Mytilus edulis: one gene and its partner. The protein of the gene in region 1 purifies or fractionates together with the protein of each later gene. This does not show direct contact. Links are inferred from orthologs where the notes say so. Each region holds a gene or a part of one and is shown on either strand. Other genes may lie near its edges.

The links.
Region 2: the proteins of serine/threonine-protein kinase Nek1-like (region 1) and cilia- and flagella-associated protein 410-like purify together in Homo sapiens (affinity purification with mass spectrometry; 3 studies listed by BioGRID and IntAct, with this or other methods). This does not show direct contact. The link is inferred for Mytilus edulis from reciprocal best matches to the Homo sapiens genes NEK1 and CFAP410.

The regions. Positions count from the first base shown.
Region 1 is NC_092351.1:3,605,753-3,617,962, forward strand, and holds the start of serine/threonine-protein kinase Nek1-like, read left to right. Parts: upstream 1-6,555; 5' UTR 6,556-6,799; coding exon 6,800-6,916; intron 6,917-10,985; coding exon 10,986-11,021; intron 11,022-12,210. Other genes in the region: NADH dehydrogenase [ubiquinone] 1 alpha subcomplex subunit 2-like, read right to left, coding at 70-158, 1,880-1,986, 4,972-5,063. UniProt on the Homo sapiens protein: Phosphorylates serines and threonines, but also appears to possess tyrosine kinase activity. Involved in DNA damage checkpoint control and for proper DNA damage repair.
Region 2 is NC_092345.1:36,557,494-36,569,703, forward strand, and holds the start of cilia- and flagella-associated protein 410-like, read right to left. Parts: upstream 5,955-12,210; 5' UTR 5,872-5,954; coding exon 5,774-5,871; intron 1,036-5,773; coding exon 970-1,035; intron 1-969. Other genes in the region: proton-coupled zinc antiporter SLC30A2-like, read left to right, coding at 6,312-6,735. UniProt on the Homo sapiens protein: Plays a role in cilia formation and/or maintenance. Plays a role in the regulation of cell morphology and cytoskeletal organization. Involved in DNA damage repair.

The DNA of each region.
Region 1 (12,210 bases):
TTTACAGTACTTTAAATCACATGTATGAACAATACTAGTCATTCACAAATAACCAGCTTGATATAAATATCAAGATCTCTGTGATAATGTTTTCAAAGCATCCAACACTTGGTCTTTTGTCATGTTTGATAATGGTAGGCTGTGTTCTTTTCCAAATTCTGTACCAAAAAAAATATCAAATTAGCATACATGTGCCATCATCTGTAACAACATTTAACATAATAAAATAAACACATGTACACGCTTGCAAATAAAACATTTGTTTTGTTCTTGTATGAAAATTTGTTATTAATATTATGATATTACAACAATTGTGCTAAAATATGACTGTATACATAACCATGTTAACAGAAGCTGTTTTAAGAAAAACAAAAAAATTGTACATGCATTTGTATGGAAACCATTTTGAAAACAGAAAAAATTAATTGATAAAGATTTGAAATATATAAAAGACAATTATTTCCAATACGGTTTTCAGATGTTTCCAAATCTTTGAATGCACTGCATTGAATAGAACAAATTAAATGAGTTATCTCCCCTAATACATCAATTTTCTTTCAATTTTTTATAAGTGTGTCCAAGTCATATTAACATTGATTAATGCTTACCTAAATAGAAAATTTTGTGTGAAATAATTTCATTGTTATTGTATTATCTTTAAAATGCTTTAGACAGTGTATTCAATTGTTCACATAGCAATTTTACGTGTGAAAGTTTTAAAAATCTCAGGGATGTGTTCTCTTTCATTTTGGTTAAAAAACTCAAATGACATTGTTTCATCTATACTATTAAACGAGAAGACCTCATTTTGTGTGTCGCTTCTCTTCCTTCCACAATAAATCAATCATCATGCCTCAGTGTCCTATAGGTAACATGCATAGTCGCATTTGTCATCCATTCTTATGGTTATTCAGATTGAGTTATTTTGGGAGAAAAACGACAAAAAAAAAGTCCGGATATGATTCCTTCATCAGACTAACTTTTAGTCATAGTTAAGACTTCCGGTTTGAAACATGCACAAATACAACCAATCGTATGAAAGATAACAAAAAATGAAAAATAAATAGGCCAATCAGAGCGTTCTCCATATCATGGTGTTTAGATCGCAAGAACAACAACTATTATACCTCCTTATAGAGGACAATCATCTACATGTAAACTACGATTATACTACATTTATATACAGAGACTCTCTGGTCTGTACGGGATCCGGGAATATATTTATCGATTTTGGGATTTCGGGATATTAATTTTTTAAATTCTGCATCTTGGGATTTCGGGATCAGGACCCATCCGACCACCCCTCAAATTAGCCTTAGTCAGTCTTAGTCACTTATACAAGATTCATATCCTACCATTGGCATGTTAATGCTCACAAAAGAAAAAGCACTGATGGATTGTCCTTGAAGCATATTTTATTAGACTTATAAAGGTCTATATATATAAGCAGTTACATTTATTTGATGTTTTGAAACGGAGCAAATTTTTAATTTGATTTGACTTTTTTGATTCTAGCGTCACTGATGAGTCTTTTATAGACGAAACGCGCGTCTGGCATAAGTGTAAAATTTTATTCCTGGTATCTATGATGAGTTTATTGACCAAAAAAAGTATTGTAGCAAAGGAGAAGAATAATTGTGGTCTGAGGCAAGAAACACGAAAATAATTGAATTTAACAGAAAGGAATCAAATATCTGACTTTGGAAAAAGGTAGAGCGCTTTTGATACCTTTTATGAAATTATCTTTTACAAAAAATCATCCTACAACAGTTCACAAGCTGTATATGCCCGCGATTTCGCGGGTGTGTTCTAGTATATATATATATCAAAAAAATAATCATGTACATGTATATTAAAGAAAACTAAAAAAATAACTAACCATATCTAGCATAGACTTTTGGTTGTACTCCACTACATTCTCTAATTAAAATAGGAAATTTAGGGTTACTCTGCTTAACACCAACATAGTAATTCTCTATGAACTCTCTGAAATAACAACATTAAAATATACAATGTATTACAACATATAAGTATATATTTTGATTTTCCTGTCATTGGAAAGTTACTTCACCTTATTCAATGTTTTGAATAGTAAAACATAATTTGTCACTGGACTTCAAGCAGTCAGGAACCTGTCATTCAGTTTATTGATGTGGTTCATATGAGTGGAATGGACTATCATTAGCATAAGGAAGAAATTAAATACCAGTCTAGTTATGAATTTTGACTTCATAAAATATTAACTTTATAGAATTTGACTTCATTAAATATTAACTTTTTAGAATTTAAACTATTCGTCAACCAAAAGTGAGATTCTACTGGACTTTTACAGATTCTTCAGATAAAAGTGTTTCTCAATTAAAAATTATCTTTTTTTATTGGACTGTGAATTTTTTTTACCCTGGTCATTTTGAGCCACTTTAATAGCTTGCTGTTCAGTGAAAGAAAAGGCTCTGTGTTGAGGGATGTACCAATAACTATTTTTTAGATTTGATAGATTTGTATATGACTTTCACATGTATGTGTATATTCAAATAAAAACGATGAGTCTTTGGTGTGGGACTTTGTCAAAGTCCATACCTGTTAAGTCTTTTTGAGTGTTAATACTGTTGATTTCTGAATTTGAAGCAACTTTTTGTACAAAGTCAAAGGACAGTAGTTGTGCAGGAGCGCATGATTTTCATTTGAAAATTGCTTGTCTCCACCAGGACTCGAACCTGGGACCTCTGTGTTACAAGTCAGCCTGTTAACAGACTGAGCTAAAGAAGAATTGAATCTGGGAACGTTCGCGCTCATTCACATTTGCTCCCTTTCACTCTCTCCCCCTACACATTTGCACCCTACATGTTTGCGCCCAATTTCTATTGGTTTTGTGTTCAATAACTTTGTAGTCATGATTTGGCAAGTGTATTCCTAATGGCTATAAGTATATTTGTTGTCATTGTCTCAAAATAAAGTGAGACAACGTTTCTTTTGTAATAAATAATTCTTAACCATGTTTTGGATAGTGTATAGTTAAAAAAATATATAGTTTCTAAATAAAATGAGATTCGACTAATTTTTTTGTTGTTGAATAAATTTTAATCTTTTTTGGTTCATTTGTGGTTAGTATATTGCTATAATTTTTTGTTTAATGATCGCTTTAGAACAAAGTGGTAAGCTGTTAAAAACAATTATCCTTTGTGTTTTTCTTTTAAATTTTTCAATGTTTTACTCATACAAAGCTAAATACATGCAGGTTTTACATCATATCAATTTAAAACAAGGCACTGGTTACGGTTACATGGAAATGTAACAATAATAAAATAATTATTGTTACATTGGAGACTTATTGCCAGAATACAGGATGGGGTACGGATCCGATTAATTACGAATGTAACAATAATATTTGTGTCTGCGGTTACATTGAGTTATTGTTGCATTACTGCACTTCAACGTACGGTAGATTAATTAAACTTAAACTAGCCTTCCCTAGTTTTGTTGCTTATTTTTTTCGCCAATTAAGAACAACGATTAACGAATGAATGTTGGCAACTGTTAACATTAATTGCATTCAAATTGACTTTTAAGTTTTATAAGTTTTTCAGCTATGCTAAGTTGGATATTGAAATCAGAGCGATGTGAACATAAAATCATATAATAATCCACAATAGTCATTCGTTAGTGCAGAATGGAATTGTACAGTATGCAATACTGACGTGCACATTGCTGCATCACTTGTATGTATAAAGGCTGCTTAGAGTGGTTTCACCAAAATACGTCGGACTAAAACATGCCCAAAAAACTGATACATTACTAGTCCCAGCGTACATTGAAGTGTATTTATGTAAAAATAACGCAATTAATGAAACCGTAGACTCAATTACTATTGTTAAATTCGTAATTAATGGGTTCCTTACCCAGCCCTGCATTCCGGCAATTAGTCTTCAATGTAACAATAATTATTTTATTATTGTTACATTTCCATGTAACCGTGTGAACATATATTATGGGGGAACTTATATTCTGTCACACACGTTCGCGCCCAATTTTAATTCAAATTCCAGTTGAATGATTGGAAAATCATGATTGTTGTTTTAAATTTGCTATGGTGTAAATACTGAATATATTTAGCTTGGTATGAGTAAAACATTGAAGATTTTAAATGAAAAACACAAATGATCATTTTTTTTAACAGCTTGGTCTCTTTGATCTGAAACAACATAAACAATGAAACAATAAAATATAGTAATGCACTATTATAACCAAAAAATGATCAAATTTATTCAACACCCCCCAAAAAAACGTCGTCAGAATCTCAATTTGTTCTGAAACAAGTCAATGCAACAAAGTTATTGCAATTCACCTAACCAAAACATGATTAAGAGTTGTTCAACACAAAATAAAACGTTGACAGAATCCCACTTTATTTAGAAAGGATTTTTATTTTTTTCAACAATACACTATCGATAACACGATTAAGATTTATTCAACGCACAAAAAAAAATGCTGTCTTACTTTATTTTGAGACAATGACAACAAATATACTTATAAGAATACACTTGCCAAAACTTGATTACAAAGTATTAAACACAAAACCAATTAAATTGGGCGCAAACCTGTAGGGTGCGAACGGACTTTGGGTGCGAAAATGAAAGGGGGCGAACATGAGTGGGTGTGAAAGTGAATGGGCGCGAACGGACCTGGATTCGGCTAACTTACAGTACTCAGTAGTACTAGTATCTACTACATTGTCTATGCCATGGAAACCTTCCTGGACGGGTATTTGATCGGCATTTCTCTCAAAACATTTAAACCCTGGTCATAGTATAAAGAACTTGTTCAATTACTTTAAAATGAAGATATTTTTGGTGAAGGTCACATTCTATTTTTCGTAAGTCTTTATAAAGAAATGCAATTTTGCAAGTGATTTTGCAAGATATGAGCAGCTTATGTTATTTTAAATATGAACTCATTATATTAGGTTCGAACCTGACACCCTGACTTGCTGTAGATTTCTGGCATAAATGAATTCTCAGCTCTTTTAAACTCTGTCCAAAGCGAAGTGCTTTAGCAGACGCCATTTTCAGCTGGTTTGTAAATGTAAGATGAAATGGTGAAACGAAGACAACTATTTTGGAAATATTTATTATATAAAATAAGTATAATGAGTATCAGAAATATTTGGTAAATCAAATAATTGATAGAGGCAGCGATATTGAATTTAGAAAGAATACTATTCTTTTACACATGTTACATTGTTATGTTCGTTTTTTATGAAAATCTTAAATTTGTATTAACGAAACTATGGATGATTTTGGGGTCTCACTAATTAGCGACAACAAGCGTCAAGAAGCGACAACAAGCGTCAACAAGCGACAAGAAGCGACAACACATATTATTTTAGCGACAACAAGCGACAAGAAGACTATTTAGCGACAATAAAACATTTTTTTTTTATTAGATATAAAGAAATTTGTATTTAATGGGTTTTTTAAATATACGAGCAGATATGTCTAATTAAAATGTTTTATTATATAGATAGACGAAGAAATGAAACATTTGTGAGAAAGAAAGAGATTGTGAAGTTTATATTTAAATAGTATATTGGTAGAAGAAGAAATTTGACTTTTGTGAAAAAGAAAGAGATTGAGCTTCTTTTTTTTATTTTTAAATATGAAGAATATGTATAAAATAATGTATGTATCTGTTTTCATCAAAGTCAAAGTATGAATAAACGAATGGAGATATATATGGAGCGGGCATAATAGAATATAATATTTTGATTCATTTGCTTAATACTATGCTCTAAGTGTACTCTTGTTATGTCAATTCGATGCTTTATTTGTAGAACTCTCAGCCACGCTTTGCCATCTTTATTATTTAAGCGTGTACAATAACATCCAATTAACACCGTCAACTTTGTACACGCGTCAGACTATACAATTACACGCGCCAGAATATACAATCATTGTAAATAGTGAACACCTGTTGAAAACTCAAGATTGTCATTAATTTCCTTTCATCTTCAATCAATATGCATAAACATGATAAATATCGTTTAATGAGGCAATAAACAAATAAAAAGATGAAAACATTCACATTTCAATTTTCTTTTCCTCCTGTTTGGTTTCAGTTCTTTGTATTTCACAATTTGTGTCAATATTTTCAGGACAATGATGCACAAGTAATTCATTTTGCGAGCTTAATACATATTGCACGAAAAGAGTTTTAAAAAACAAATTATAAGATAAATAATATGTTCTAAAACACAAGGAAAAGTAATCTCATAATACAATGATTAAACGTAATACTGGCTGTTATTCATAATAGATGATAAAATATTATGTAAATAATGTTTCATTTTTTTCTATCAATTTTAACTTTCTTGTCGCTAAAATTATTTTCTTTGCATATTCTTTTAAAATTCATTGCAATAATTAATTTTAATTACAAAAAAATGTTTTCTTGTCGCTAAATAGTTTCTTGTCGCTTGTTGTCGCTAAAATAATTCTTGTTGTCGCTTCTTGTCGCTTGTTGACGCTTGTTGTCGCTAAAATTCTTGTTGTCGCTAATTAGTGAGACCGTGATTTTGTACACTTCCGCTGAAATTCCACTTTTACGAAATATAATTTTACATCGAATATTTCAATGAAATGAATTTTTCTTTATAGTTGTACCCACCAAGACATTTAAACCAAATTCAATTTAGTTATATAACATACAGTTTTACATCATGGTCCATCAGAATTTTTTTAATTAATCTCAAGAAAATCGAAAGTAATGAAAGAAAAATAAATTTATCAAAAAGTAAATAAACATGGAAAAATACACCAAAATTAAAAGTATAGGCGAAGGAGCATTTGGCAAAGCATTGCTTGTGAGGGATAAAAGTAATGGTCAGCAGTATGTCGTTAAAGAAATTCAAATGTTGAGGGTACAGTATACATTTTAGCATGTGTCTTCTTCTTCTTCTTTCAGTACAGAGTCTGACTCTTCTTGAGTGTATAAATGACTCTTGCTCGTGAAATCATGAGACCTTCCCTCCTCACTTAATAAAAACTATTTACAGGAAAATTATTTACAAATAAAACTATGTACATCTGGGGTCAAAGGAGATCTAGGTGTGTGAAGCTCCTGTCAAGGCCTCTGGCAGGATGGTAAGGCTGGCCTTGAACTCTTCTAGTGGAATCCGGGTCTGTTCGCACCCAATCACGTTCGCACCCTTCCACATTCGCCCCCCACATGTTCGCACCCAAATTTTGCAAAAAGTTCGTTCGCACCCCACACGTTCGCACCCAATTTTACCGATTTTTTGGAGGTGTATTGGTATGAATATATATGCCATTGTTTCTAAATAATTCGAGATACTGACAAGTTTTTTTGTGTCATGACAAGATTATAAAAAAAAAGTCCTTGTTTTAAAGTCGGAGTGAGTTGAATAATTCTTAATCGTGTTTTGGTTAGTGTATTGAAATAATTTGTTTTTCACTGGTTCTAGTCAATTAAGTGCGAATCTGACAACATGTTGAACAACTGGTATGCTGCTGCTTTTATGCATGGTAAGTGTATTGCTATGATTAATATTTATTTTATTAGTATTTACATCAAAGCAATTTAGAACAACAATCATGATTTATAAACAACAGTAAACAATAACACCAATTAGGCTGTTTATAAATACCAACAGAGACATATAATACGTCTCTGATACCAATTAGCAATAATCATACATAATCAACATTTAATAATTAATCATCAGATTGATAAAAAAAAAATCTATTCAATAAATTCTCAAATTTTATTCAAATAGAATACAATTATTTGTTATATTCATATGAATAATTTCTAACAATTTAACTTAAATTTTATTAAAAATTGGGCGCGAACATGTAGGGTGCGAACGGACGTGGGGGGCGAAAATGTGAGGTGCAAACGTGTAGGGTGCGAAACTATATTGGGCGCGAACGGACCTGATACCCTTCTAGTGTAGCTGCTATTGTGGCTTTTTCCGGTAGAGTGTTCCATTCCCTGGTTGATCTTGGGAAGAAGGAGTACCTGTATTGGTCTTTTAGTGTGCGCTGTTGGTGTATGCGGTGGCCTCCTCTGGTTGTTGAATCTCCGGGTTTGTAATAATTAGAGGGGTCAATATCCACCAATCAATTGTGGATCTTGTATGCCATGGTGAGTCGGTCTTTGCAGCGGCGATCTTTAAGAGGCACCCATGTGTAGCGGGGTTGCTTCCCCTCCTTAGTACAAGTAGAACATATAAAGCCAGTCTTAATCAACTGAGCTAGGGAATCAATTCTTTGGCTCAATGGGTTAACTGACTATCACACAGGCGACTGGGGTTTGAATCCCAGTGGTGACGATATAAATTTGTAGAGTAGATACATTTGTACATGCTCTCCGGTTACACATGTTTAGTACACCAATCTAAGATTCTTTTTATGAATGAGTTGCAGTAGTTGTCCTTAAGTTCAAATGGTGTAAACAACTTAATTGAATAATTGGTTCCTACTTTGACCATTGACATAATAACATTAGCATTGTGGCAAAGAAAATAAAGGGGAAAGAGCACAAATTTGAAATTCGTCTGTTGAGTATTGACATTATCATGCACCATTAATCGCTATTTGTCCTTAATCACAAAGGTTTCTCCTAAATTTTGATGTCACGATAGATAATGTCTAGGACCACAAAGGAAAAGTGATTGTTGTATGACGTCTATCATGTCTATTCATGCTATTGTTCAAGTAATGAAGTGTCACTGATTCCGAAATATAAAAGTGATAAATTCTATTATATGTATTATCATGATTATACTTGTAATTTATAAAATTAAACTCCATGAGGTGTACCAACATGACCAACGCCTGTGTGAATCATTTCGATAGAGTCCCTGAAGTGGATACCTTGGTATGCAGGGTTGTCAAATGAATGCAACATTAAAATAATACACAAGGCAAGGTTGGAAGAGAAGCCTTGCGAAGTGGTAGGAACCATGGGAAGTTCGTCCAATTAGATACCAAGCCTTAGAACAATTTCATGTATCATATAATAGTAAAACAAACTCAAGTTACATTTTAAACAAACTTTAATTTTCTATATTTATCTTATCTATATATAACTCTGTATTGCTACTTTCACTTTTCATTGTTTCTCTCACCATGACGACGTCAAATTTTATGCACCACTTTGAGTACTTCAGGGATTAATTTCTGTATAAAAATTGTCCTGATGAAGCCTGCCTTGCAGGTGAAACATGTAGACCATAGCTAGGAAGAATCTTAGATTGGTGTATTTAAAAAAGGATATTAAAATTACAAAAGAGGGCTGCTAGATTAATACTAGAAACAGACCCATTCGCTCCTTCTGCACCCTTATTCAAACACTTAAACTGGATGACAGTTGAACAGAGAATAAAATATCATAAGTTAGTGATGACATTTAAGTGCATTAAAAATAATGCCCCATCATATCTTACTAACAAGTTTCATTATGTTTCAAACAGAAATCCATACCCCTTGAGAAATGCTGTTCAAGGAAACCTCATACTCCCTAAACCAAAAACAGAATTGTTCAAAAAATCTTTTATGTATTCTGGACCATTCTTGTGGAATAATTTGCCAATACCGTTAAGAAATATTACAAATGTTAATTCTTTCAAATACAAAATAACAGATCATTTATTGAAATCAACCTAGCTGTATCAATAATATTAAAAACTGATCATGTCATCATGTTTATTTTTTTTACATCACATTTTATCAAGTTGTACTAAACATAATTATCATACTTGACTTTTTATACTAATGTATGCAATGTATATGTTTGCATTTTGTTTGATTTCTCATGATGAGGGCCTCAGGGAAGATTAGTTATATAGCTAACTGTGTAACCCTCTTGAAATAAAGTATTGTTGTTGTTGTTGTTGTTGTTGTTATAGCAAACATGGCAAATAAAATTGAAGACGATTTGAAGTGTTGTTGTCAGTTTGGAGTACTATTGTAATTTATAAGATAATTTATTGTTGATGAGTATGTGCCAATGAAATTATTGTAGTTGTTAGAAAATTTACCATTGCATGATCATGATGATTATTCTGTCAATTTTAGATACATATTGTAATAACTAATAAAACAACAGAGAGGTTTGTGATATACATGTACATTGTATATTCATTTTACATTGAAATTAAAAAGATCCTTAGATGGTAGCGGTCAAGATCATCTCATTTAAGGTAGATCATAAGTAAATCTTTTTTGAGACAGAATTTTCTTATACTTAGCCATAATGAAGATTTTAATATGCTCTTTTCAAAAAAATAATAAAAAGTAGGGGTCACCGTGCTATTTTTCAAGCTATGAGTCGTTGAAAATTGCCTAAATTTGGTTAGATTGTTAATGGAAAAACACAATTGTGTGCATAAAAAATAATCTATGAGATAGAATTTTGAAATAAATTGTGAAAAGATAGGTTTTGTAATATGTTTTAAGAAAATAAAAAGAAAAAATGGTGTCACTGAACTTATTTTCTTGCTACAAGTAAAAAGAAAAAAATTACCTATCTGTCCAGTATAAATCTTTTACTAAAAGAGTTATCTTCCCTTAAATGGCTCATTTGAAAAAAATGATTCAAAAAGCAAAATAAAATGATATTTGTTTAATTATTTTGAATTATACAATAAATTGCCAAGTTTTCTTTATATTATTAAACAGTCTAACCATCAAATTGCAAATCTGTCTCCAAATTTGCAGATTTAGGCAAATAACTAGACCGATTTTTTACTGTGATTGTTCAATCCAAGATGGCGGTATACCATCAATCTACCTTAAGCTAGTCTTGAAGACAACCACTGTTGGTGGCATGTAGTATAGTGTTCCAGTGTAAAGTTGTACATGGGTTAAAAGATTCTTTCTTCTGTTCTAAAATAAAAAGAACTGTCTATTATCATGATTATAAAAGTTAAATTCATATGTTAATAACTTTCTTTGTTTCCTCAGATGAAAGCAAAGGAAAGAGAAGATGCTAGAAAGGAGGTAACTATCTTTACTATGTTTACAAAAGTTGTTTGTCTCTATAAAAAAACATATTCATAAATCTTGAATTCATTTATATCAAACATGTCATATATATATGGTCTGCCAAACATACAATTTATTTGTTAAAATATTCAGATATATACAGCTGTAGCTACAATTTGTCAATCCAGTAGTTGTAAATTTTGTCTGTTTTCTACAAAGTAATCTCTCAGAATTGCCAACAGCCAATGATAGCTATTCCCTCACTGTAGTGAAGGTGTCATTATGTTTTACCCTTGTTAGTCTGTCCGCTGTCCTTTCTGCTCTAAAACCTAAGTTTGCCTCAATCAAATACACAATGTTGATTACCACCAAACACAGATCATGTTTGAATTTTGGTGATGTCACTTTTACTTTTCTATAGTTATGGTCTTTACAAATAAAAAAAATTCTGAATTTTTCATTTCTCTTATTTCATGTATTTAAGCCTGTTAATTATATACATGTAAGTGTGCCTCAATAAAATGGTATGAATCTTATATACAATGCTTATTACAATACCACAATACACAGATCAAATTTGATTTAGGGTGATGTCACTTTAACTTTCTAGAGTTATGCCCCTTCACAAATGGAAAAATTTCTGAATTTTTCTTGTTTCCTTTCTCAACCAAATGTTAGGAAACTTATATGCACAATGCTTATTACCACTAAACTCAGATCAAGTAGGAATTTGGGTTGTGTCACTTTTACTGAACTTAAGTTATGTTATTTTATAAAGTTATATGAAAACATTTGCCATTTATTTAGTATATATGCGAATGCAGCCATGGAACTCCTATTCAATTTTTATAATTTATTGTTATTTTCATATAATATTATAGGGTTATTGCAAGAATATTGGGGAATATTGTCCTGAGTAGAATTTTATATTGCACGAGCTTGCAAGTGCAATATATGTTCTACGAGGGACAATATTCCCTATTATTCATGCAATAACCCTTTTATTGCATAGCAATATAATATTTGAAGTAAAAATTGGTTTAAAGTAAGATTTTGTCGTTGATGACATCATGATTTTTGAAGATTTATTGCATGAGTGCAATATTAGAATTTATTGTGCGATAAATGTTGGTTACTTTCTGTGGGAAATATATTGCTATGCAATTAATATAATTACTTAAATTCATGAATTTTGAACATTTAT
Region 2 (12,210 bases), on another chromosome or scaffold:
TTTGTCCCTTATTGTGCCGATCATTATTTCAGCTATATTTAGTATTCAAATTATTATATTCAAAGCTTTTTAACAATCATAAGAGAAAGAGAGGCAACACATTCTAAAGAGACATTCCAACTTAAAAGTTCTTGTTTCTCGTTTTTTATATATAGATTAGACCATTGGTTTTCCTGTTTGAATGGTTTAACACTAGTCATTTTGGGGCCCTCTATAGCTTGCTATTCTGTGGAAGCCAAGGCTCTGCGTTAAAGAATGTACTTTGACCTATAATGGTTTACTTTCACAAATTGCGAATAGGATGTAGAGGTTTCTCATTGGCACTCATACCACATCTTCTTGTATCTAATGTATCAATTGACAACAGCATGACAATAAACAGTACACAAAATGAATTTCATTATTTATAATTTTTACATTGATCAAAGACCACATTTACACCTGCTGGCTTAAGCAAGTGTCATTGAAAAGATAAAAAAAAAACCATTATAGGTTCATTGTTGTCAAAACAACATAACATTTTAAATCACTGTCAGATTCAATATTACTCACAGTACATGTAGATTTTAATTCAAAAATCTTGAAAATCTAGCTTTAATTTATAATAGGGTGGTGATCTTGAAACTACAAATGTATCTTAGGATTACATTGTAGCATGTGTTTTAAGATCATCTTATGGCAGACACATCTTTGTCCTACATGTATTTCATGTTCTCAACCATCTCTTAACTTAAGATATTGCATCTTCCCTCCTAACTTTAGGACTCCGAAATTAAGTGTCCTAAGATCATGTTAAATGGTTATGTGAAGATTAACATGCAATGAAACTTAAGAGTCTATCCTAACATTGGTATAAGGATCCATGTGTCCTATATGTAGGATGAATCTTAGGATATTTTCCAGAACACCACCCCTGTTTTTGTGTTAGTACTTTAACAAGTCTTTTTATAGATAGGAAATATGGCCTACCTTAAGCTACATACTTCTAAATTTGGAAGTTTCTTCACAACACTCACATCTCTAATTCCTGAACCCCTGTAAAAAATAAAACTATGTAAATGTCATAAATACACGAAATGCACACAATTCTTTAATGTTATGATCATGCTGATGAATGACCTGACTTTATTAAAAACAATAAATTTAATGTTATATCAATTTTCATGTATATGAACCGTTATCAATGCTATATAAATTTTGTTGTTTTATAAAAGTCAGGAGCCTGTAATTTAGTGGATGTTGCTTGTTGCTGTGTTACATATGTTTTTCATTCACTATTTTGTACATAAAATTGTTAGTTTTCTCGTTTGAATTGTTTTACATTTGTAATTTCATGGCCTTTTATAGCTGACTACAAATTTATGTATATGCAGTATAGATTTAATCATTATTGAAAGGCCATACTGTAACCTACAATGTACATGTATAGTTGATAATTTCTGTGTCATTTTGATTTCTTTTGAAGAGCTGTCTCATTGTCAATAATACCAAATCTTATTTTTTATACTAAATATTTGACTGAACAGTTGATTTCATACATGTATGCCTCTTCACTAGCCAAGTGTTACAATCTACTCCCCTGCACTCCATCCTTGGCAGATTAAGCCAATATTTGTATTAACAATGTTGGGCCATCTATCGGTTGATTAAAGTTACATACATTCTGAAAATACATTACTCTTGACCAATGATAGCGCTTGAACAATGAAACGCTGTCATCAGGTAACGTTTTTTCATAACAAACAATTATTTTTATCTAGGTGCTCCGCAGGGCGCAGCTATATACGACCCCAGTGGTCGAACCCTGAACAGTGGGGGCAAATTTGGTCACAATATTCAAGCTTGATACTGTCTGAATTTGGATTGTGATCAATTTTTTTTTTTACATAATATGGGTTTTTGTCACAAAATTAATGTGGTCAAAGATCTAACAAATCTATTGCACAATACTGTGCAATTGAATATTTCTTCTTGAAACTTTTCAAAATTTAAAATTTGAAAATTTTTGAAAAAAAAGGAATCCCTTTAAAAATGGTAAACAAAAAATCCGCACCCCCCACTTTTTGAAACCCCCATTGGAGTAATAACCCTTAAACTCAATCCCATGCTTTCTTTTGTAGTATTGAACCTTGTAGTACAATTTCAGAAAGATCCATACACTTAAACACAAGTTATCGTCATGATTGTTTGGAAACTAGAAACATGCTTCTTTTTGGCCCTTTTTAGGCCCCTAAATCCTACATATTTTGGGCAATTAACCCAAAACTTAATCCCAGCCTCCTCTTTGTTATATTGTACATTGTGGTACAATTTCACAGAGATCCATACAAGTACACACAAGTTATTGTCTGGAAACTAGAACAATGCTTGTTTTGGCCCCTTTTTGGCCCTTAATTCCTAAACTTTGGCCCCATAACCCTGAATATGAATCCAAACCTTCTACTTGTGGTTTTAAACATTGTGATATAATTTCAGAGCAATTGAAATACTTGTACACAAGTAATTATCCTGAAACTAGAAAAAATGCTTGTTTTGGGACCCTTTTGGGCCCCTAATTCCTAAATGGTTGGAACCATCATCCCCAAAATAAATCCCAACCTTCATTTTGTGGTATTGAACCTTCTGAATTTTTTTTATAAAGATCTATTTACTTTAACTAAAGTTATTATTCGGAAACCAAAGTGTCTTCGGACGACGCAACGTAGACAACGACGATGACATCGTACCATTAAACGATCCCAAATTTTTTTAATCACAGTTAAAAAATCGTTTGTAATTGTGTCCCGTGAGGCTATTTAGACAGTTTTCACAGTGACCCATTAGTCCAAATAATTGACATCTTGAAAGGTTATTATAATTTTTTTCTTTGACGCCTTACGTCGAAGTAAGGCGTCAAATAAAAAAAATATAATAGCCTTTCAAGACGTCATAATTATTTGGACTAAGTGACCCTAGCTGCGGAACCGTAGCTCTTAGGTCCTAAGAGCTACGGTTCCGCAGCTAAAGTGACCCATAAGATACACATGTACAAAATCTTTCCTTTTCTTTCTCTCCATAGTTTTTAAGAAGAAAAATGGTAGATTTAAAAAAAAATATTTGTTGTATGTTTCTTGCAGTGAGAACTTTTGGGTGTGTGATTCTAACTTTAATTTAAATTGAATCATGAGGGGGGGCTAGACCATTTTCGGGACGCCGGGATTGGCCAATTTTATCAACGGGAAATTGGGATTGCCTTGTTTAAAGATCGGGAATTCGGGATAGAAAATCATCGGGAAATTGGGATTGCCTTGTTTAAAGATCGGGAATTCGGGATAGAAAATCATCGGGATACGGGAAACCCACGTTTTTAGCCATGGGAAATCGGGATTTTTATGTTGAAATATAATGGGATTGACAAAAAACTGTACCTTGGACAGATAAAAGTGCCATTTTCATCATCTCCTTGGCGCTATTTTGCCGGCTCCGGCAAAATAGTGATTTACATAGAGTTTTGCTATTTTGCCGGTCTTAACTAAGATTTTAATATAAGTATAGAAATTAAGAATAGAAAAAAAGATAGAAACATACACTTTAATAAGGAATCTCTATACTAAAATGTCTTCTTTAAAAATTTATTTAAATTGACATTCTTTACTTTTAGAATAAGTAGTCTCTAAAAATGTGTATTTTTCAAATATTGAAAAAAGAAAAACATAAATATCAAAATTGATACTACATGTAGTACTTTTTTCTTTAATAGGAAGTCTAAAATAAAGCAAAACATTTAAATTGATACTAGTACTTATTTCTTTGATAGGAAGACTAAAATATATTTCTTATATAATAAATACACATAAGAAAAGCATACAAACCCATAAAAAAAAATAGACATTCTGATTAAAACTTTTAATAAAAAAATTATATTAGTTTTGAAACAAAAAGTAACACCCAACAATTTCAAACTGCTCGATGAGCGTTACTAAACCTGTTTCTTTTGCGTCTGCATCACTTTTGCAGACTGAAATGCAGATAATTAATATACATTTTAGTTTTCAGCATTCATAAAATCATAAAACAAATGCTGTCAATGGCTAGATTTCTATGCATTGTGTGTACAATAATTTTTTTGTATTAATCTTTTTATCTGGTTTTCATGATTTTTGTAGTCCTCGTTTCACAATTCCTCAGTTACACATAGTTGTCGTTTTCAAATTGCTCTAAAACCTGCTGAAGCTTTTCATATCTGTCGAAAATCAAGTTTGTTTTATAACATCACATTTTGTTGTTTTCTATTTTGAACGTTTAATGTTCAACAGAAATTAACGTATGTACATGTAATTAAATGAGTAGAGTTCTCCGAATTTAACTGACCAGGAATGCAAGGCGAACATTAAATTGTTCTTGACATCTAGCCACATATATCATTTGTGCATAAATAGTTTCCTTAAAAAATATATTTCATATCATCTTGATTAAAAATCTGAAATAGGACAGGCAAAATAGCAAAACTCTAATTGAATCTCTATTTTGCCGGAGCCGGCAAAATAGCGCCAAGGAGGCTATTTTGCCAGAGCCGGTAACATAGCACCTAAGAGGCTATTTTGCCAGAGCCGGCAAAATAGCCACTCCCTTCATTATACTTCAATCAGAATCGTATCTAGAAACAGAGTAGATCCAGATCTTATTGTTATTTTTGTTTTTTTGAGTGCCATATTTAATATCCACTGTACGCGAATGAAATGCTAACCAAAATTCATGATAAATGTCTAAGCTCCTTGGTATTAGTGTTGCTCTGATTTAGAGTATCAGTATACCCAAAGAGTGTGGTAAAGGTTTTTTTCGTGCAACGTGTTTTACCATTTTTAATTCACAACCTTCCGTGAAAAAAGTTTTTGCTTTACTGTGAAATTAGTAAAAACGGCAACGTGCAAGCATTTTTTAAAATTTTTTCGTTCATCGTGAAATTGGAATTTTATTTCGCGTTTGTCCGTGAACATAACACCTCTTTACAACCCTTCCCAAAAGTTAGACTTGATTTGGATATTTCTTGATTTGGATATTTTCAATAAGAGTAAGACCTAAAAGAAAACACATATGCCCCCATATATATATCTACCCTAATTTTAAGTACCTATAATCTAACTCTACTCTCAAAAGGTTATTGGATGTTATGTGGACAAGCACTTGTTAAGTCAGAATTTTTCTACCATATGAACCAGTCAAAAACGTTTAAAAAAAAACTATTTTGCTTTCCTACCGATCCTATTTTTTTAGGGGATGTTACCTGAAACACATGTATTTTTTTCTTCGCCTTTTTACTACACATCTAATTTAACAGACACAGTCTTCTCTATAATCGAATATTATATAAAAATATTTCTGGCATTCTGCAATTAATTTTGAAGAAAACAAATACCCCAACTTGACGTGTTTAAAATGTACATTTGTACGTACTAAATATATTGGTCAAAATGCACAAATTGAAAGCAAATAATTAAGAACAACATTACTCAAAGGGGTTAATTTTTAAAGTTTACCAGGACAGCCTCCTTTAAAAGTTGTGTCAGATGTTTCTATTCGTTATCTTAAATAGTGGAGGACCTCTTTATTAAATAAATGGTGATTTCTTGCTTATCGGGATCGGGATTTTTAACAAAATATGTCCGGGATTTCGGGATTTTCTGATATTAAAACCGGGAAATCGGGATGAGACCCCCTCTAGCCCCCCCCCCCCCCCCCCCAATCATCATTTCAACTCATCACTCATCATGTTTAAAAATAATTAAAAAAATACCAAAAGTTGAGCTTTTTCACGCTTTCAAAATCAGTTGCTCTAGTTCTTGCGAGGACAAGTGCTTCACTTAATCTGTCTTTGGTATATTCACATTCCATTTCTTTTCTAAAACATTGAACAAAGGATTCAACTGTTTAAAGAAAAATTGTTTATCCTCACAACTGAAACGGAAATTCGAATAATAAACTACAAAGTCGATTTGTCATCGAAAAGACACGAACAAATTCCGGATATAATTTTTCTTATTTATTGTTTTTAGTCTATTTACGCGTTGATAATTATACCATATCATATGCATGTATTTATAAATAAATCAACTGGATAACACACTAAATAAAAAATATAACTATAATATATATAGAGAGTAAAACAATTGTGAATCTTGATTTTACTTTTTGAACACACTTCATTTCGGTCTTCAGACTTTCTTTTTTAAGAAATCACATGACATACACATTAAATCAACACTTCCTGTAGGACTGTCACGAAATTGAATATATATGTCAGATTGATATGAATATTTGACTTGGATACTGTGATGACTCACGTAAGCAACTACAATGATGTTGCTGAGGGTGGAAACAAAGACCATAATCATTACCAATCAACTCACAATAACACAGTGTCATTAACATCAGAATTATTAGTGGATTTCCAACCTTCTCAAACAGAAAAGGAATCTTCCAACACAAATTCTATAAACCACATTCCAGACAATCAAGATCATGACAATATATCTGACCTTGGTAATAGCTACTCCAGCTTTGGTCGAGAGAGTATTTCAAACCATGAAGAACGATTGGCTGTCCCAGTCCAGTTTGATCGGTCGGACAGTGACAGCCCATTGTTGGACCAATGGCACTGCCATAACAATGATAACAATAACAATGACAAAACTGCAAGAAATCAGTTGATTGCTGTTTGTACCCTTTGTGTAATGTTCATGATTGGAGAAGCTGTTGGTTTGTATTCTAAATTAGCACTATACCCTCTTTAGTCTAGTACATTTGTACATGTAGATCACATTCATTCTGTTTCAGAAACCTAAGTCTGCTGTGTCAACTACTTAATTACAATCCAAATTCAGAGCTGTATCAAGCTTGAATGTTGTGTCCATACTTGCTATTCAGGGTTTGACCTCTGCGGTCGTATTAAGCTGTGCCCTGCGGAGCATCTGGTTTTTATAGTTTCCTATATTCTTATAAAACATGAGAAATTTTTTTTATGTACATGTTCATGTACAAATGTATGCACATGAGTCCAGCTGATGGAGAATTAATTAATACATTATTAACAGCTGGCACAACATGACATAAAGAACAAATATTCATGTACAAATGTATGTACAAAATGTAGGGCACCGGTGTCATATGGTATTTTGAACCCCATGGTAAATTGACCCCGGGGTCAAAATACCGCTATGGTAAATTGAACCCCCCCATGGTAAATTGAACCCCCCCCCCCTGTATGGAAAATTGAACCCCCATGGTAAATTGAACCCCCCTGTTTTTTTCATCCTAGATGAATATTAGAACATTTTACATTATTCTAAAGCTTATCATAGATTAAAAAATCATTCATACAAGAAGGGGAGGTACATTTTCCATGCTTAATTAAAAGAAATATCTTTGCTTGGTATAAGTGCTCTGAAGTCTTTACCAACAAAATGTCATTCAAAATACTTATTGACACATTATAACTAGACCATATGTAGCTTGAATGCTTTAATTATTTGTAATTATAACTTATGTATATATATATATATAGAAGGGTAGTTTTGATTTTCCGTGGTAAAAAAAGGGGGAGGGGGTCAAAATACCATGGCAAAGTAAAATTTTCAAAATATCTTTTCCAGCAAGTTAAATACATACAACCTACTTATTGGTGAATTCTAACTACATAAAAGAGTTAGAATTGCCAGATTTTTTGGAAATTAAAGGCCTAGAGTAGGGGGTTCAGTATACCGCAGGGGGGTCAAAATACCATGGCAAAGTAAAATTTTCGAAATATCTTTTCCAGCAAGTAAAAGACATACAAACTACTTATTTGTGTATTCTAACTACATAAAAGAGTTAGAATTGCCAGAATTTCTGAAATTAAAGGCCTAGAGTAGGGGGTTCAATATACCGCAGGGGGGTCAAAATACCATGGCAAAGTAAAATTTTCAAAATATCTTTTCCAGCAAGTTAAATACAAACAAACTACTTATTTGCGTATTCTAACTACATAAAAGAGTTCGAATTGCCAGAATTTCTGAAATTAAAGGCCTAGAGTAGGGGGTTCAATAAACGCAGGGGGGTCAAAATACCATGGCAAAGTAAAATTTTCAAATAATCTTTTCCAGCAAGTAAAATACAAACAAACTACTTATTTGCGTATTCTAACTACATAAAAGAGTTCGAATTGCCAGAATTTCTGAAATTAAAGGTCTATAGTAAGGGGTTCAATATACCGCAGGGGGGTAAAAATACCATGGCAAAGTAAAATTTTCAAAATATCTTTTCCATCAAAGTTAATACATACAAACTACTTGTGTGTGTATATTAACTATATATAAGAGTTAAAATTGCCAGATTTTTTTAATTGTCTATTAGTAAGGGGTTCAATATATCGCAGGGGGAAAAAACCATGACAAAGTAAAATTTCAAAATATCTTTTCCAGCAAGTTTAATAAATACAAACTACTTATTGGTGTATTCTAACTACATAAAAAAGTTCAAATTGCCAGAATTTCTGAAATTAAAGGTCTAGAGTAAGGGGTTCAATATACCGCAGGGGGGTCAAAATATCATGGCAAAGTAAAATTTTCAAAATAACTTTTCCAGCAAGTTTAATACATACAAACTGCTTATTTGTGTATTTTAACTACATAAAAAAGTTAGAAATGCCAGAACTTTTTAAATTAAAGGTCTAGAGTGAGGGGTTCAATATACCGCAGGGGGTCAAAATACCATGGCAAAGTAAAATTTTCAAAATATCTTTTCCATCAAAGTTAATACATACAAACTACTTGTGTGTGTATATTAACTACATATAAGAGTTAAAATTGCCAGATTTTTTTAATTGTCTATTAGTAAGGGGTTCAATATATCGCAGGGGGAAAAAACCATGACAAAGTAAAATTTCAAAATATCTTTTCCAGCAAGTTTAATAAATACAAACTACTTATTGGTGTATTCTAACTACATAAAAAAGTTCAAATTGCCAGAATTTCTGAAATTAAAGGCCTAGAGTTGGGGGTTCAATATACCGCAGGGGGGTCAAAATACCATGGCAAAGTAAAATTTTCAAAATAACTTTTCCAGCAAGTTTAATACATACAAACTACTTATTTGTGTATTTTAACTACATAAAAAAGTAAGAAATGCCAGAACTTTTAAAATTAAAGGTCTAGAGTGAGGGGTTCAATATACCGCAGGGGGGTCAAAATATCATGGCAAAGTAAAATTTTCAAAATAACTTTTCCAGCAAGTTTAATACATACAAACTGCTTATTTGTGTATTTTAACTACATAAAAAAGTTAGAAATGCCAGAACTTTTTAAATTAAAGGTCTAGAGTGAGGGGTTCAATATACCGCAGGGGGTCAAAATACCATGGCAAAGTAAAATTTTCAAAATATCTTTTCCATCAAAGTTAATACATACAAACTACTTGTGTGTGTATATTAACTACATATAAGAGTTAAAATTGCCAGATTTTTTTTAATTGTCTATTAGAAAGGGGTTTAATATATCGCAGGGGGTCAAAAAACCATGACAAAGTAAAATTTCAAGATATCTTTTCCAGCAAGTTTAATAAATACAAACTACTTATTGGTGTATTCTAACTACATAAAAAAGTTCAAATTGCCAGAATTTCTGAAATCAAAGGCCTAGAGTAGGGGGTTCAATATACGGCAGGGGGGTCCAAATACCATGGCAAAGTAAAATTTTCAAAATAACTTTTCCAGCAAGTTTAATACATACAAACTGCTTATTGGTGTATTCTAACTACATAAAAAAGTTAGAATTGCCAGAATTTTTTTAATTAAAGGTCTAGAGTAGCGGGTTCAATATACCGCAGGGGGGTCAAAATACCATGGCAAAGTAAAATTTTCAAAATATCATTTCCAACAAGTTTAATACATACCTCGCCATGGTATTTTGACCCCCCTGTGGTATATTGAACCCCCTTCTATAGACCTTGAATTTCAAAAATTCAAGCTATTCTAACTCCTTAACATCATAATAATACTCCAATAGGTAGTTTGTATGTATTGAACATGATAAAAGATGTTTTGAACATTTTACTTTGCCATGGTATTTTGACCCCCCTTCCATCATGTCCATGGTATATTGAAACCCCTACTATAGACCTTAAATTTTTTTAAATTCTAGCAATTCTAACTTTTAACATTGTAATAATACTCCAATAAGTAGTTTGTATGTATTTAATATACTGGAAAAGATGTTTCGAAAATTTTGCTTAGACATGGTATTTTGACCCCCCTGCGGTATATTGAAACCCCCTACTATAGACCTTGAATTTCAAAAATTCAAGCTATTCTAACTCCATAACATAGTTATAATACTCCAATAAGTAGTTTGTATGTATTTAATATACTGGAAAAGATATTTTGAAAATTTTACTTAGCCATGGTATTTTCACCCCCCTGCGGTATATTGAACCCCCTACTATAGACCTTGAATTTCAAAAATTCAAGCTATTTTAACTCCTTAACATAGTTACAATACACCAGTAAGTAGTTTGTATGTATTTAATATACTGGAAAAGATATTTTGAAAATTTTACTAAGCCATGGTATTTTGACCCCCCTGCGGTATATTGAACCCCCTACTATAGACCTTGAATTTCAAAAATTCAAGCTATTTTAACTCCTTAACATAGTTACAATACACCAGTAAGTAATTTATATGTATTTAATATACTGGAAAAGATATTTTGAAAATTTTACTTAGCCATGGTATTTTGACCCCCCTGCGGTATATTGAACCCCCTACTATAGACCTTGAATTTCAAAAATTCAATCTATTCTAACTCCATAACATAGTTATAATACTCCAATAAGTAGTTTGTATATATTTGATATACTGGAAAAGATGTTTTGAAAATTTTGCTTAGACATGGTATTTTGACCCCCCTGCGGTATATTGAACCCCCTACTATAGACCTTGAATTTCAAAAATTCAAGCTATTTTAACTCCTTAACATAGTTACAATACACCAGTAAGTAATTTGTATGTATTTAATATACTGGAAAAGATATTTTGAAAATTTTACTTAGCCATGGTATTTTGACCCCCCTGCGGTATATTGAACCCCCTACTATAGACCTTGAATTTCAAAAATTCAATCTATTCTAACTCCATAACATAGTTATAATACTCCAATAAGTAGTTTGTATATATTTGATATACTGGAAAAGATGTTTTGAAAATTTTGCTTAGACATGGTATTTTGACCCCCCCTGCGGTATATTGAAACCCCCTACTATAGACCTTGAATTTCAAAATTCAAGCTATTCTAACTCCATAACATAGTTATAATACTCCAATAAGTAGTTTGTATATATTTGATGTACTGGAAAAGATATTTTGAAAATTTACTTACATGTAGCCATGGTATTTTGACCCCCCTTCGGTATATTGAACCCCCTACTATAGACCTTGAATTTCAAAAATTCAAGCTATTCTAACTCCTTAACATAGTTATAATACTCTAATAAGTGGTTTGTATGTGTTAAACATGCTGGAAAAGATATTTTGAAAATTTTACTTAGCCATGGTATTTTGAACCCCCTGCGGTATATTGAACCCCCTACTATAGACCTTGCATTAAAAAATTCAAGCTATTCTAACTCCTTAACATAGTTATAATACTCCAATAAGTAGTTTGTATGTATTTAATATACTGGAAAAGATATTTTGAAAATTTTACTTAGCCATGGTATTTTGACCCCCCTGCGGTATATTGAACCCCCTTCTATAGACCATGATTTTCAAAAATTCAAGCTATTCTAACTCCATAACATAGTTATAATACTCCAATAAGTAGTTTGTATATATTTGATGTACTGGAAAAGATATTTTGAAAATTTTACTTACATGTAGCCATGGTATTTTGACCCCCCTGCGGTATATTGAACCCCCTACTATAGACCTTGAATTTCAAAAATTCAAGCTATTCTAACTCCTTAACATAGTTATAATACTCTAATAAGTGGTTTGTATGTGTTAAACATGCTGGAAAAGATATTTTGAAAATTTTACTTAGCCATGGTATTTTGAACCCCCTGCGGTATATTGAACCCCCTACTATAGACCTTGCATTAAAAAATTCAAGCTATTCTAACTCCTTAACATAGTTATAATACTCCAATAAGTAGTTTGTATGTATTTAATATACTGGAAAAGATATTTTGAAAATTTTACTTAG